Linked DNA regions of Oryctolagus cuniculus. The protein of the gene in region 2 purifies or fractionates together with the protein of the main gene of each other region. This does not show direct contact. Links are inferred from orthologs where the notes say so. Each region holds a gene or a part of one and is shown on either strand. Other genes may lie near its edges.

Region 1 (7,035 bases), on a different chromosome or scaffold from region 2:
CTTCCCCTGGACAAAAACCCTCCTCGCTCTCAGACCCAGGGTCCCAGGCTCCCTGGGGGCTGCCTCCTCCTGTCCTTTCCCTGCTCAATCCAGGAAGACAGCATCGCTGTCCGTCTGCCTCGTCTCCTGCCGGGCCTGAGCGCCTCCCAGGGAGTGGCACGGCCTTAGTGACCCCTGCGGCCCATTCTTCCAGGGGACGAGTCAGGATATGAGAGAGCAGACAATTCGCTCACGAAGCTTGCACTCTAAGGGATGAAGCCAAAGTAATGACGCCAAAAAAATCTTGGTAGGGCTGGCGCTGTGGCACACTGGGTTAAGCCACCGCCTGCAGTGCTGGCATCCCATGTGGGTGCTGGTTCGATTCCCGGCTACTCCACTTGCGATCCAACTCCCTGCTAATGTGCCTAGAAAAACAGTGAAGATGGCCCAAGTCCATGGGCTCCCGCACCCAGGTGGGAGACGAGGAAGAAGCTCCTGGCTCTGGCCTGGCTCAGCCCTGGCCACTGCAGCCATTTGGGGAGTGAACCATCGGATGGAAGAGCTCTCTCAGTCTCCCTCTACCTTTCAAATAAATAAAATCCGTCTAAAAGATAGATATATATCTTCCTGGTGAATGGAAGTCAGATGTGGTAGGAGACCACAGGCGGCTATGAAGCTGGGGTGATCACCAAGGGCTTCCAGGAAGAGGTGCCATTCAGGCTGAGACTTGTAGGATGCACAGCAGCAAACCAGGCAGAAGCAGGGAAGAGCATTTCAGCAGGAGGGAACCGCACGTGAGATCTCGCCCTGGGGATGAGCTTAGCACAGGGGAGCAACTGGAGCCAGGTCAGTGCAGCCAAAGCAAATCCAGACTGGGGCAGCAGAGAAGAGACTGGCAGGGCCAGCTGGCGTCTTCCCCTGGGGCAGGGTAGGAGTTTTGGTCTTTAGGCAAGCACGGTCAGCATGCAAGGATTTTGTGAGTAGGGAGGTGGCTTGAATGAGCCCACGTGAGCGCGCCTGCGAGCAGCCGGGGCGGGGACGGCACAGAGAAACCAGCAGCAGAGACGTTCTCAGGCCAGTGCCCGGTCCGCGCCATCCTTTCCAGCCTTCGCTGTTTCTGGCCAGCTTGGACATCACCATTATTGCCACGGACAGCGGCACGGACATCCCAGGGAAGCTTGGCACGGGCAGTGCCAGGGCAGCGCGCACAGAGCGGCCCAGGACCCTGCCCCAGGGGCTCCTGCTCTCACCTCGGTCTTGTCAGGCACTTCCAGTCTCGTCTGCGGCGGCGCCTTCACGGCAATCACCGTCTGCTCCTTGAAGTTGCCGACAGCACGGATGTCCTGGTACGTCACGTAGGCCAGCGTAGGGGCAGAGTCAAGAAAAGTGAGCGCTGGGCAAAGTGCAGACCCCAGATGCCAGGCGGGGCCCAAGCCTCTGACTCCCGCTTTCTCACACTGCTTAGAAATAACTCAGAACTGTAACCTCTTCTTTGAATGTCATAAGCTCCTTTGGATACTTTTAGACAGCCCAAGGAGGTGTGCATCATTTTCAAATGCTGCCCATGGGTCCAGTGCTGTGGCGTAGTGGGCTAAGCCTCCGCCTGCGGTGCCAGCAACACGTATGGGCACCGGATTGAGTCTCGGCTGCTCCACTTCCCATCCGGCTCTCTGCTAATGTGTCTAGGAAAGCACTGGAAGATGGCCCAAGTGCTTGGGCCTCTGCACCTGCGTGGGAGACCCGGAAGTAGCTCCTGGCTTTGGATCATCCCAGCTCCGGCCATGGTGGCCATTTGGGGAGTAAACCAGCAGATGGAAAATCTTTCTCTCTGTCTCTCCCTCTGTCTGTAATTCTACCTCTTAAATAAATTAATTAAAAATCTTTAAAATATGCTGCCTTATATCAATTTTTTATGTAAAGGCTTCCTCTCAAAAAGATCTTAGCTCTGAGAAGACAGGAAGATTTGCTTCTTTATATTTCTCACAATGCCTAACATCCTTCCAAAAATACCAGGCTAGATCCAAAAGCCAATTAGATGTGAAACCATTTGGGAAAATGCACAAACCATGCTCTCTGACCTCATTGCTTGCATCCCAGGAATCTGATTTAGGGAAATAAGTGACAATAAGGGGGCAATGTCCAACACACAAAGATATTCACCTCTATGAAAGCAGAAACCTAGACTTGTTCCACATACTCATTCTATAAGACAATCTGAAGTCAGTTTATAGACAGGTGAAAAAGAGATTGAGTCATGTGAAGTTGCTTTCTCACGGGTACGTCGTGATTGCATACTGGCATTTTCCTGTGGATATGTAATGGCAAATACAAACGTCTACAGTATTAATTGGAGAAGAACAGAACAAAAAATGCAATGTGCAGCAGGGTCCCCGAGCCTCGTAAGGAAGCGATGATGTGTTAGGCTGGCAGCCCACGGCTTCTTTTTTGTTCTATATTTTGCAGATTTAAAGAAATATACTTGGGGCTGGTGCTGTGGGGTAGCAAGTAAAGCTGCTGCCTGCAGTGCCAGCATCCCATATGGGCACCAGTTCGAGTCCCAGCTGCTCTACTTCTGATCCGGCTCTCTGCTATGGCCTGGGAAAGCAGTAGAAGACGGCCCAGGTCCTTGGAATTCTTCACTTGCATGGGAGACCCGGAAGAAGCTCCTGGCTTCAGATCGGTGCAGCTCCACCTGTTGCAGCCATCTGAGGAGTGAACCAGTAGATGGAAGACCAACCTCTCTCTCTCTGTCTCTCTCTACTTCTGCCTCTCTGTAACTGTGCTTTTCAAATAAATAAAAATAACCTTAAAAAAAAAGAAAGAAAAAGAGAAGTGTGCTTGTCTCAGGGCCACCACTGTGGTGTAGCAGGTAAAGCTGCTGCCTGCAGTGCCAGCATCCATAACAGGTACTGGTTCAAGTCCCAGCTGCTCCACTTCCAATCCAGCTCCCTGCTAATGCACCTGGGAAAGCAGCAGAAGATGGCTCATGTCCTTGGGCTCCTGCACCCACATGGGAGACCCAGAAGAAGCTCCGGCCATTGTGGTCATTTGGGGAGTGAACCAGGGGATGGAAGACCTCTCTCTCTCTCTCTCTCTCTCTCTCCCTCTCTCCCTCTCTCTCTCTCTGTAACTCTGTCTTTTAAAAATTTAATAAATCTTTAAAAAATGTATTTGTCCCATTTTGAATCATGAAAAGGTAACTCTAACAGGCTTGAGAGGAAAAACCACGGAGAAAGAGACAGATGGCCAGAGCCCTGGGAGGCGGTGGGACAGAAGCACACGCAGGCCCTGCGCCGGCCCCTCCACAGCACAGGATATCTCTGGTTGGCCTTGTCCTCGGTCAGGTCCTTTAAGCTCAGAGAGCAGCCCTGGATGAGCTGGTCCAAGGCCTGCTCCGTGCTCGTCAGCTCCTTCAGCTCCTGCCTCAGCTGCTGCTGCGTCCCGGGCCGGGTGGGGTCTTCAAACATTCCCCTGCCTCTGGGAACAGAGCAGCCCCCCACCGCCAGTGTCAGTGTCAATCCACACCCAGAGTCCCACCCCCAACCCCAGGGCTGCAGAGAAGGTAGGGGTGAAGCTCCAGGTCAAGGCCAGGTCAAGGTGCATGATGGTGGCCCCGGGGTGTGTACATCACATGGTCACCATCACTCTCAGGGATTGGAACTGGAAGTCGAGGCCCGAACCCCGCTTCTGGGGGGCTCTCCACTCGGTCCATCCCTAATGCCCAGCCTCCCCCAAAGGGCAGGGGACCACAGTGACCCCAGTCCTGAGTCCCTTGCCTGGGTTCTCTCAGGATCCACGCCAGGGACTGTAGGTCTGCTCTTTCAGACCCTGCAGGAGTGGGAAGAGGAGGCCCTGGTCCTCACGTCTCAGAGATGGAGGCTGGGTTAGGCCTTCTCAGCTTCCCGGGACTTCCCTGAGCTAGGAGATGGGGACCTGGGGAGTCCTCACCCAAGAGGAAGGAGCTGGGGTCCTTTTAGGCCTTTGCTTTTCCTGGAGATCATCTCCATCCTGCTTCCCACCTCCTGTTACTCCAGGGAGTGCACCTGCCCTTCCACCCAGCTCTCCAGCAGTGGCTCTGCCCCCAGCCCTGGCCCTGACCCTCACACCCCGGCACCCACATCCCAGGCACTCACACCCTGGCCCTGGCCCTGACCTCACACCCCGGCCCCCACATCCCAGGCACTCACACCCCGGCCCTGGCCCTGGCCCTGACCCTCACACCCCGGCACCCACACCCCGGCCCTGGCCCTGACCCTCACACCCCGGCACTCACACCCTGGCCCTAGCCTTGACCTCACACCCTGGCCCCCACATCCCAGGCACTCACACCCCGGCCCTGGCCCTGACCCTCATACCCCGGCACCCACACTCCGGCCCTGGCCCTGACCCTCATACCCCGGCACCCACACCCCGGCCCTGGCCCTGGCCCTGACCCTCACACCCCGGCACCCACACCCCGGCCCTGGCCCTGACCCTCACACCCCGGCACCCACACCCCGGCCCCCACATCCCAGGCACTCACACCCCGGCCCTGGCCCTGACCTCACAGCCAGGGGCTCTCTCCGCCCCGGCCCCGCCCACCGCTGAGCCCCCACAGCCTGGCGGGCACTGGCACCCCAGCCCCGCCCACCACCGGCCCCATGGCCCGCGCGGGCACTCACACCCACTGGACGTGGTTCTTGGCCTTCTTGCGGATGAGCTGGATGCCCTCGAGCACGTTGGTGATGTCGTAGATGCGCCGCTTCTGCACGGCCAGCACCTCCGCCGCCCAGTTCAGGTCCAGGACCCCATCGGCCGACTCACTCAGCAGGTAAATGAACTTCTTGGTGAGCAGCCCCAGCGACGTGTCGTATCGCGTCTTCTCCCCGGGGGACTTGGGCGCTGAGGACGGGGCGCAGGCACAACTGAGGGGGGCCAGCCCCACCTCTCGCCACCCTCTACCCCCTTGACAGAGTGCTGCGAGGAAGCACACCACCAACCTGGCTCCCGAGACAGAGCGACTCTCCTGAGGCCTGGCAGCAGCCTGGCCAACACCTGTGACACCTGTGACACCTGTACCACCTGCCGCCTGCGAGCCACTGCCGCTCCCACGGTCCACACTCCAGCAAAGTTACCCTCACAACGTGCTGTGCCCATTTCACAGATGCCAATACTGAGACAGAGACAGGCTCGCTCAGCTCGAAACTGGCCAAGCTGGGATTCAAACCCAGGCGCTTTGGCTCCAGTGTCTTCCTTTTAAACCCTTACCCTGCCCTGCCAGATAGGTCAGGAATTTGCAGCTGGGGTAGGGAGGTGGTGATAAGGCTGGATTTCAGGTTTTCACAGATGCACACTTGCTGCTACTTTCCGTGGGGCGCTCAGGTTTATCTGAGAGGAATCAGCTGTGGCAGGTTCATAAAAAAAGGTCCCATTCTTAATGAGTTGATGTCACAAGACCACATCTCAGCTGCAGCATCGCAGACCACAAGGGGACTCTTGCGACACAGCAGGCCAGTGACCCAACGAGTTCTGGAACCTGACTTTTACAGAGTGTGAGATTCCGCAGAGAGGGACTCAGAATCCCTAACACACATGAGGGGGCTTGTATGGGCTCAGGCCAATGCACGTGATGAAAAAGCTAGGCAGGGGTTTCAGGGTGGTTGTTTTTTGTTTTGTTTTGTTTTGTTTTTACCAAAATAAACTTGTATTTTAATTCTATTTCCCACAAACATTATGGGTAAAGCCGCCACCTGCAATGCTGGCATCCCATGTGGGTGCTGGTTCATGTCCCGGCTGCTCCATTTCCAATCCAGCTGCCTGCTAATGCTCCTGGGAAGGCAGCAGCAGATGACCCAACTACTTGGGCCCCTGTCATCCACATGGGAGAAGCTCCTGGCTTCTGACCTCGGCCTGGTCCAGCCTTGGCTGTTGTGGTCCTTTGGGAGGTGAACAAGCAGATAAGTGATCTCTCTCTCTCTCTCTCTGCTTCTGCCTCCCTCCGCCACTCTGCTTTTCAAATAAGTAGATTAAAAAAAAAAAAAAGCTTATTTATTTTCATCTATTTGAAAGGCAGAGAGAGAGATCCATCTTCCATCCACTAGTTCACTCCCCCAGATCCCACAAGAGCCAGGGCTGGGCCAGGCCAAAGCCAAGAGTCCAGAACTCCATCTGAATCTCCCACGTAGGTGACCGGGGCCCAAGAACTTGAACCATAGTCCCATTAGCTGGAAGCCGAATGGGAAGTGGAGGAGCCAGGACTCGAACTGGCACTCTGATATGGGAGGTGGGCATCCAAGCAGTGGCTTAACCCACTGTACCACAACCTCCATGAACTTCTTCCTCTTCTTGTGTGTGTGTGTGTGTGTGTGTGTGTTTAAGATTTAAAGGCAGAGTTACAGAGAGAGAGGGAGCTTCCTACCAATGTGTGTCCCGGGAGGCAGAGAAAAAGAGAGATCTTCTGTCTACTGATTTACTCCCCAAGTGGTCACAACAGCCCAGGCTGGACCAGGCCACAGGCAGGAACCTGAACCCAAGCACTTGGGCCATCTTCCTCTGCTTTCTCAGGCACGTAACCTGGGAGTTGGATTGGAAGTGGCACAGCTGAGACTTGAACTGGTGTTCATATGGGATGCTAGAATTGCAGGCAACAGCTTAACCGGCTGTACCTCAATGAACTTTTTTTTATTGTTGTTTTATTTATTTATTTGAAAGGCAGAGTTACAGAGAGGCAGAGGCAGAGAGAGAGAGAGGTCTTCCATCTGCTGGTTCACTCCCCAGTTGGCTGCAACGCCAGAGCTGGGCTGATCTGAAGCCAGGAGCCAGGAGTTTCTTCCAGGTCTCCCATGCAGGTGCAGGGGCCCAAGGACTTGAGGCATCTTCTAGTGCTTTCCCAGGCCATAGCAGAGAGCTGGATCGGACGAGGAGCAGCTGGGACATGAACCAGCACCCATGTGGGATGCCGCACTGCAGGTAGAGCCTTAGCACACTATGGCACAGCACCAGCCTGCCTCCATGAACTTTTTGAAGTACCCTTGTGGATGACAAGTGTTTGGCAGGCAGAGTTCTGCCAGGTTTTTT
Region 2 (7,634 bases):
ATGAAAAGCTGTCTAAGAACAAGCGCCCTGGGAGACTTCTCCCACGCTGAGCCCAGCAGCTGACCTCACTGCCCCGCACCTCACACACAAAGCCCTCTCCTCTAAGGCTGGGATCATGAATTGGCATTTGTCTCCGGAACTCACCTCCTCCAAGCCTGAAGGGGGCGGTCCCTGCTCCCCAGCAGTCGCAGGCAGGGACCCAGGCCTCAGCAGAGAACCCGGCTGCGTCTCTCGGGTCTCCAGCTTCCAACATCACTATGGAGGGATTGTCCCGTAAACTCCCGGGGCGGAAACCGGCATCACAAAGCGGCCTCCAGAAATGAGACACGGGTGCTGAGAGGGACCCACATAGTCCGGCTCTGCCCTGGGCCAGCATCATCCCCCAGCATCCACCGGGGTTGGTTCCAGGGCCCCAGTGGAGCTCAAAACCCACAATGCCCAAGTCCCGGCTGTAAGAGCTGTGGAGAACTTGCAAAGGCGCCCACAGGCCCTCCAGGTACAGAGAATCTAATACAATGTAAACGCCCTGGGAGGGCGCTCCTCATATTGTATTGTTTAGGAAGTAACAATGGGGAAACCTGTACCTGTTCAGTTCTGATACAATGTCTTCCGAACTCTTCCCACCCGCAGAGGACTCCAAACCCGCAGAGCCTGCAGACCGCTGGACAGATGGCTCTCAGCGCACAGCATGGCTTTGTTGGGGCACACACAGGCTGAGGGGTGGGGCAGCACCCTGACACAGCCCCACAATGCACATTCACGTGTATCCTCCCTCTCCACCTGCAGACTTTCCTGAGGCCAGCCGAGTGCTGAGAACACAGCCTCGCCAGAGGGGCAGCAGGGAGGGAGGCCCATGCCTGGCCCCTCCAAGGGCTCACTCCTCCGGGGGCAGGAAGCATGGGCTGTGACCTCCAGAGAGAGCCCTCACCTTTCCCTGCCACGGCCCCACCCAAGGCCCCTCCCGGGCCAGGTGCCTCCGCTGCTCCCAGCCCCTCTGCAGTGTGCTCTGGGGAACGGTCCAAGCACCTGCTGCCCCCCTGGTGAGCAGCTGGGCAGACCCTTTAGGGTGACAGCTTGGGAACTTGCTCAGGCCGCGTGGACCCCCAGCGTGAACACAGAGGAAAGGAAGGGCTGACCCAGGCCCCTGCTGTCACTACGCAGGCTTGGGAATGAACGGTTCCCCTAACATGGAAATTCCTGCCCCAAATGCCCATAGCAGAAGGCGACTCCCTCCTGTTCAATTTCTGGGGCGAAATGAGACTCGGGTCTCCGTCACTTCACTGTGGGGGCTGCTGTGTCTCTCTTCCAAGTCCCCCTCCACACAGGGCACCTCCCTGGGACATGTGTCAGTGCTACTCCATAAATGAATGTCAGAGGCAAAACCCAGGGAGGCAGGGCCCAGCACAGACACGGCGCCTCACAGGAAGGGACGCGTCCCTGACACCCTCCCTCCCCTCCCTGCACCCCCGCACCCATTTCCCTTGCATTCTCAGAGCCACAAGGATCTCCAAGCACCGGAATCGCTCCACAACGCGACAGCCCAGGGAGCGGCCTGCTTAACTGCACCTGGGTGAGGGGCACACAGACAGCTCACAAGAGAAGTACCCTGATGCGGGTACCTGCAACCGTCACACACAGGGCTGTGTGCAGACACGGCTGGGAGTCACAGAGCTCCGTGTTTATTACAAGACAACGGCAAGGTTTTCACCAGATTCCTTTCACATAGGCACGTATTTGTATTTAAGAACCAGAAAAGAGGGCACAAGATGCATACCCACGAGAGAAGAGACAGGTCGAGTGCCATCTGCCCAGTCCTGTGCCAGCCCCTCAGGCAGCCCTGCAGGTGCCAAGTGCATCTCCTTCCTGTCGGCCCTGATGTACCCGTCACCCCGGAGCAGCCACCACAGGCTGTGGCCAGCACGCACCCTCCCGGCCCACGGGCCCAGAAAGGGCTCACAGGATGACGAGGACGAACAGAGACCATCGTTCCTCACACACACCCCAGAGGCCACACAGAGGCCTGTGCGATCAGAAGCTGCTCATGACCGCAGAAATCACCGCATGAGATGAGCAGGGGGCACCAAAAACTAGCTTAGGGGCCCCCAGCGGGCTCTGGGCCCCTCAATTCACACCAGAGGGCCCACTCTGCAACAACCTCATCAGGCAACCTGTGCACAACACAGCCACTGGCCCCCCACGGGCCCTCACCCTTGCTGGTCGCCCATCCACCCTCCAGCATCACCTGCCCACAGCCTCCATTTCCAGCTTGTCCCCGACACCCTGACTTCTTGTCTGCAGAACACGGAGGCCACCCTGCCATTCTGCCCTGCCAGCTGCATCTCAGCCCGTGAGACCCTGCCACCGCCTAAGAGCACGTGGATGACAAGAAAGCAGCGTCACCAGCCACGGGACCAGCACAGCCCTTGTCTGTAGAACACGGAGGCCACCTTGCCAGTCTGCCCCACAGCCACTCCTCAGCCCGTGAGACCCTGCCACCTCCCAACAGCACACACTCCGAGTCCTTCAAATGCAACGATGACCAGCTAGGGGGCCAGCACAGCCCGTGCCCTGGCCCGGCGACCTTGCTGGGGTGGCGGGGTCCCCCTCCTCCAGCACCTGTCTGTCCTTCCCTCCCACGCCTCTCTCCGTGCCACACAGACGGTGCCAGCCACACCAACGTGGAACCACAAAGGGCTTCGAAGATGACATCAGTGAGTATCTAAGCATTTAAAGAGACGAGAGCAAACTGGTCCAGAAACCAGAAGCATGCGGCTGGGCATGGGTCTGGCACCACCCTTTCTGGGCAACTGTGGGAGTCCAGCTGCTTCGGGGCACCTGCCACATGTTGGCACCTCCAGGAGTGATGGCACCAACCAAATGACAGCAGTTTTAAAATGAACATCAAACCAAAACCCTGCACACAGCGCCCGGAGGGCTGCGCGCCTCCCTGCGCAGGCCTGCATCCGAGGACAGGGAGCCCCTGACCGGCACAGACAGAGGACGCGGCTCAGGAAGTTCGGGAAATCTGAGCTGACAGAAGGCGCTCCAAAGCCACCCAACCTGCAGTCGCGCACAGAGGCAGCAGGACCAGCCTGCTTCCAGCTCTATGCAGGAGACGAGCACGCAGCCCGTCTGCACCAGTGTGCAAAGACCCCGCGTTTCAGGGAATCTGACGGCATGATGGGAAACTCAGTTCATTCTTGGACCTAAGAGCCTATTTCTCCACCCAACTTTAAAAAGTTACCGAGAAGGGGATGGTATTGTGGCACGCAGAGGGTTCAGTGGGCACCTGCAATGCCAGCATCCCATAGGAGCACCAGTTCAAGTCCCGGCTGCTCTGCTTCTGCTCCAGCTTCCTGCTAATGCGCCTGGGAGGGCAGAAGATGGCCCAACTGCCTGGGCCTCTGTCATCAGGCTGGGAGACCCAGATGAAACTGTTGGCTTTGGCCCGACCCAGATGTGGCTATGTGGCCATATGGCCATCTGGGGAGTGAACCGGCTAATGGAAGCTCTCCCTCTGTCTCTCACCCTTCCAAATAAACAAACCAACCTCTCTTAAAAAGCCAGGAAATACTAATAACTCAGGTTTTGCCCCTCTGACAAAGGCACAAACAGGAGGGGCTGGTGCCAGGCACAGGTGTTTGAGCATTAAGCAAAGGTACTCACATCTTTTGCCATGTTACCAGGTCCAGGAAACCAATGCTATCAACATTCACTCTCCAAGGAAGAAAAGACTTTTCTGGTTAAAAAAAAAAAAAAGAGAGAGAAAAAAGAAAAATGAGCAAGGATGAAAAACTAAGTTTACAAGATGTCCCACTTTAAAGGAGACGTCTCCCCCGCCTGCACGAGGGCCTGGCGGCTGAGATTTCTCGCTAGAGCCTGGACGCAAGGCTCTCGCAGCGCTCGCCACCCTCAGACCCCGCGAGCAGCCCGGAACCCCCCCGCCCCGCGCACCCCAAATGGCCGGTCCGGAGGCGAGACCGCGGTGAGCCCGGGGCGCGCTGCCCGCCTCCGCAGGGTGGGCTTGGGTCCCCCACTTAGGCGCACACGACCACCCAACAGGGCACAGCCCAAACGTGCAAGTTCCCAGGTCTTCCCCCGGACCCTCCAGGGGCTGCGCGCCGGGCTGCTCGGCCGCCGACCGGTAACTCTGACAGGTGGGCTCTCGGGTCCCCGCCCGCTGCGATCTGTCACTAGGCCGCAGCCACCGCGCGCACTCCAGCCCCGCGGCGCCTCCCGCCCCGCCCCGCGCGGCCCGGCCCCGACCCCGACCCCGACCCCCAAGGCGCGGGCGCGGCCATCGGCCCCGGAGGCCAGGCCCCGTACCCCCGCCCGCCCCGCCCGGTCACCTGGGAGCCCCCGCCCGCAGCAAGGGCGCCTGGCGCGGGGCCCCGGCGCCCAGGAGCGCGCGGGGCCCGGAGGGCGCGGGAGGGCCGGGGCCGCGCGGCGCCCGCACGCGGCGGGGACGCAGCTCGGGGGCCGCCGCCCGCCCGCGCCCCGCGTGGCCCGCGCCCCGCGCTCGCCCGGCCCCGTCGCGCCGGCTCCCACCGCATCCTCCGCCGCCCGCACCTGGCTCGCCCGGTATGGCCGCGCAGTCTGGGGCGCGGGCCGCGCGGGGACACGGCCGCGGGGCGCGGGCGGGCGGCGGGGGCCGGGCGGCGCTCCCGGCCCTGGCGGGGTCCCTGCCCTGGGCCAGCGGCGCCGGGACGCGGGGCTCACCCTGGCCGAGCGTCGGGCCGGCGTGACGTGCGCGCGGCGCGGTGACGTGGGCGGCGGCGGGCCCGCTCCGCGCAGCGCGCCTGCGCGCATTTTCGCGCCTTCGGAGCCCTCCTCCTCCTCGGCGCCCTCCTCCTCCTCCGCCCCTCCTGCTCCCGCTCCTCCCGCCGGCGCTGCCGCCCTGGGGGAGGGGAGGGCCGTGCGCGCGTGTTCGAGCCTGCGCGTGCGCCGGACGGGATGGAGCCAGCCGGCGCTAGGGATGCGCGCGCGGGTCAGAGGGGCCACGTGTGTGCGCGCATGAGTGTGTGTGTGTGTGTGTGTGTGTGTGTGTGTATGCACGGAGCGAGACTGTGGGAGGAGACCCAAGCTGTGTGTGCGCACACAGAGCTGCAAGGGGGCCGGGGTGGGGGGCAGAGCTGGAGGCGAGACATGGGTGTAGGGGGTGGAGAGGAGGCACCTGCAGGGCAGGAGGCCAAGAGCACTTGCTGTGTGCATGGAAAAGGGGGCCAGTTGTGTGCTCGCCTGTGTGCATGGGGCTGGGGCTGCTGTGTACACCAGTGCGTGTGCACAGGGAGGAGAAGGGGTCAGGTGCAAGTGTGCACGTGGAGGAGTAGCAGATGGAGGCAAGCCAAGCGCGAGGGTGCCGCACAGACCAGGGTCCTGGGCGCGTTGGTTTGCATGGATGCAGGGGTGGAGGCAGGCGCTGAGCTGGCGCAGGTGTCTGGGCAGGGAGGGGAGGGGAGGGGAGGTCTCCAGCCCTGCTCCGCATCCCGGCGGCTTCCTCACAGAGTCCCAGCGACTCCACACCTCCTGGGCGCCAGGGCAGGCAGCCTTTCCACGGAGAGTGGAACTGGGCCCTGCCCTGCAGACACAGCTGTCACCTAGGGCTGGCGGCAGGCTGTGGAGGCCGGTCCCGAGCCCAGGCTGCACGGAGTCCCACACAGCCATAACAAGGGCTCTCCCACCCTGCACCCCTCTGCACACCTCCAAGTCCCACCCCATCCACACCCACTGCACCCACTCCTGCCCAGGAGAGCCCCACCCTGGCAGCCTGTCCTCTGTGCCAGCAGTTCGGTTTCTTTGTGGCAGAAACCTTCCTGTCTGGTTAGCACACAGTAGGTCCTTAGAGAAGGTTGATGGGGCTGGGGGGAGCGGTGTTTGGCCCAGGGATGAGGACACTGATCATGTCACCTGAACCCCACAGGGCTTCAAGGCCCAGCTCTGCCTCTGACCCCTAATCTGCACCCTTGGAGGCAGCAGGTGATGGCTCAAGTACCTGGGTCTCTGCCACCACATGGGGGACCTGGATGGAGTTCTTGGTTCCTGGCTTCTGCCTGGCCCAGCCCTGGCTGTTGTGGGCAGACTGAAGATCTCTGTCTCGCACACTCCTTCTCCCTCTGCCTTTCAAAGAGATAAGTAGAATAAGACAGCTCCTGACTCCAGTCGTGGGCGGCAGTGCTGAGAGCCCAGGAGCTGGGTGCCCACCACCCACGTGAGTGCCCTGCTAGGCTGGTGCACAGCCACGTGGGCATCTGGGAGTGAGCCAGGGGTGGGGCAGTCCCTCCCGCTCTCCCTCCGTCCCCCCGCCTCTAAGATCAAAACCCTAAAATCCTCCTGTCCCGGGAAAGCCTGTGTTCCGTGCAGTGGGATCGCGCCGCCGCCCGCCAGTCCCGATTTGCAAGTGTGTCTCCTGCATTCTGTCCTCAAAAGCCGTGCGTGTTCCTCGCTCTTCCTTTCCCTCGCTCTTCCTTTTGTAGGATCTTATTTTTCCCTAAACTCGGGTTAGGGACTCTCAGCAGCAGCGAGCCCCCTCCCAGCCTCGTGGAGCGGCCTGGACAGCAAGCTTCCCGAGCCCACAGGCCGGGGTGACCCACGCTGGACTCCAGGGGCCCCACAGCAGCGGCAGCTCCTCGAGGACACCCAGCCGCCAGGGAGCCTGCCTCTCGCTAACAGTCGGCGGCAGCTCCCTCATTCTGGGTGGCGGGTGCAGATGTCTTACAGGGCCCGGGATGCAGCCTTGAGCAGGCCGACCCCACGCCCTGCGGTGAGCTGACCCCTGGGCACACTGCGTCTCTGAGCCTGGCCGTGCAGGAGGCCTGGTCTCGGCGAGAGCCGTAGTCGCTGTTGAGCCATCCCATCCCAGGGGCTGGTGTCCAGCCCTGGGTGCACACGGGCACCATGCCGGCTGAGGGTGCCGGCCACGGCTCAGAAATGCTGGGCTCTGCGTTTTACCAGACGAAAGTGACAGGCGCTCCTCTCCCACACGCTCTCGGGTCTGCCTGCCCTGCAGGGCTCCCGGCTCCTGAGAGAGTGAGCGAGCGAGGACGTGGGCCAGAAGGCGCGGGCCTGGGCACACTGGAGAGTGCCCACTGCAGCAGGGCTGGGTGAGGTGCCGGCTGGGAGTGACACAGGCCACCCCTGCCAGGGCCGCCAGCACTGTGGACGCTAGGCCCAGCTGGAGCCTCCAATCGGCCCAGCACCCTCCAGTGCCCTCGCTTGGGCCCTGGGGCTTCCACCGGAGAGGTGATTCCTGTCACGCCAGCAGGGAGCAGAGCAGTTTCCCGAGCCAGAGGTGCTGGCTCACTTCACTGGTGCGCTGAGGGTGCATGAGGCCATGCTGAGGACGGGAGGCAGCAGGCGTGGTGGACAGGGAGCTCCTGGTGTGCAGGACGAGCTCCGAGCACCTGTCACGGGGGAGCACCTGGGCCTGGCGCCCACGGGAGAAAGCTCCAGGCGGACCCATGCTGTGCCCGAGGAGGTGCTGAGGACCCCACCCCTCCCTTCTCTCTGGCTCTGCCCTCCCTCCACGGGGGCCCGACCTCCGGGGACAGCACCCTCAGGGGATGCTGGCCACTTGGGGTCAGACGACGGGGAGGTCAGAGGACGGGAGAAGGGGGTGGGGAAGGCCGCCCTGCCCT

The links.
Region 1: the proteins of TFDP1 (region 2) and E2F2 purify together in Homo sapiens (affinity purification with mass spectrometry; 3 studies listed by BioGRID and IntAct, with this or other methods). This does not show direct contact. The link is inferred for Oryctolagus cuniculus from reciprocal best matches to the Homo sapiens genes TFDP1 and E2F2.

Annotation. Positions count from the first base shown.
Region 1 is NC_091438.1:147,414,100-147,421,134, reverse strand, and holds part of E2F2 (transcription factor E2F2), read right to left. Parts: intron 4,861-7,035; coding exon 4,641-4,860; intron 3,457-4,640; coding exon 3,298-3,456; intron 1,345-3,297; coding exon 1,230-1,344; intron 1-1,229. UniProt on the Homo sapiens protein: Transcription activator that binds DNA cooperatively with DP proteins through the E2 recognition site, 5'-TTTC[CG]CGC-3' found in the promoter region of a number of genes whose products are involved in cell cycle regulation or in DNA replication.
Region 2 is NC_091440.1:498,666-506,299, forward strand, and holds the start of TFDP1 (transcription factor Dp-1), read right to left. Parts: upstream 4,802-7,634; 5' UTR 4,720-4,801; intron 4,709-4,719; exon of another isoform or gene 4,570-4,708; intron 4,374-4,569; exon of another isoform or gene 4,350-4,373; intron 3,977-4,349; exon of another isoform or gene 3,955-3,976; intron 3,740-3,954; 5' UTR 3,679-3,739; coding exon 3,667-3,678; intron 1-3,666. UniProt on the Homo sapiens protein: Can stimulate E2F-dependent transcription.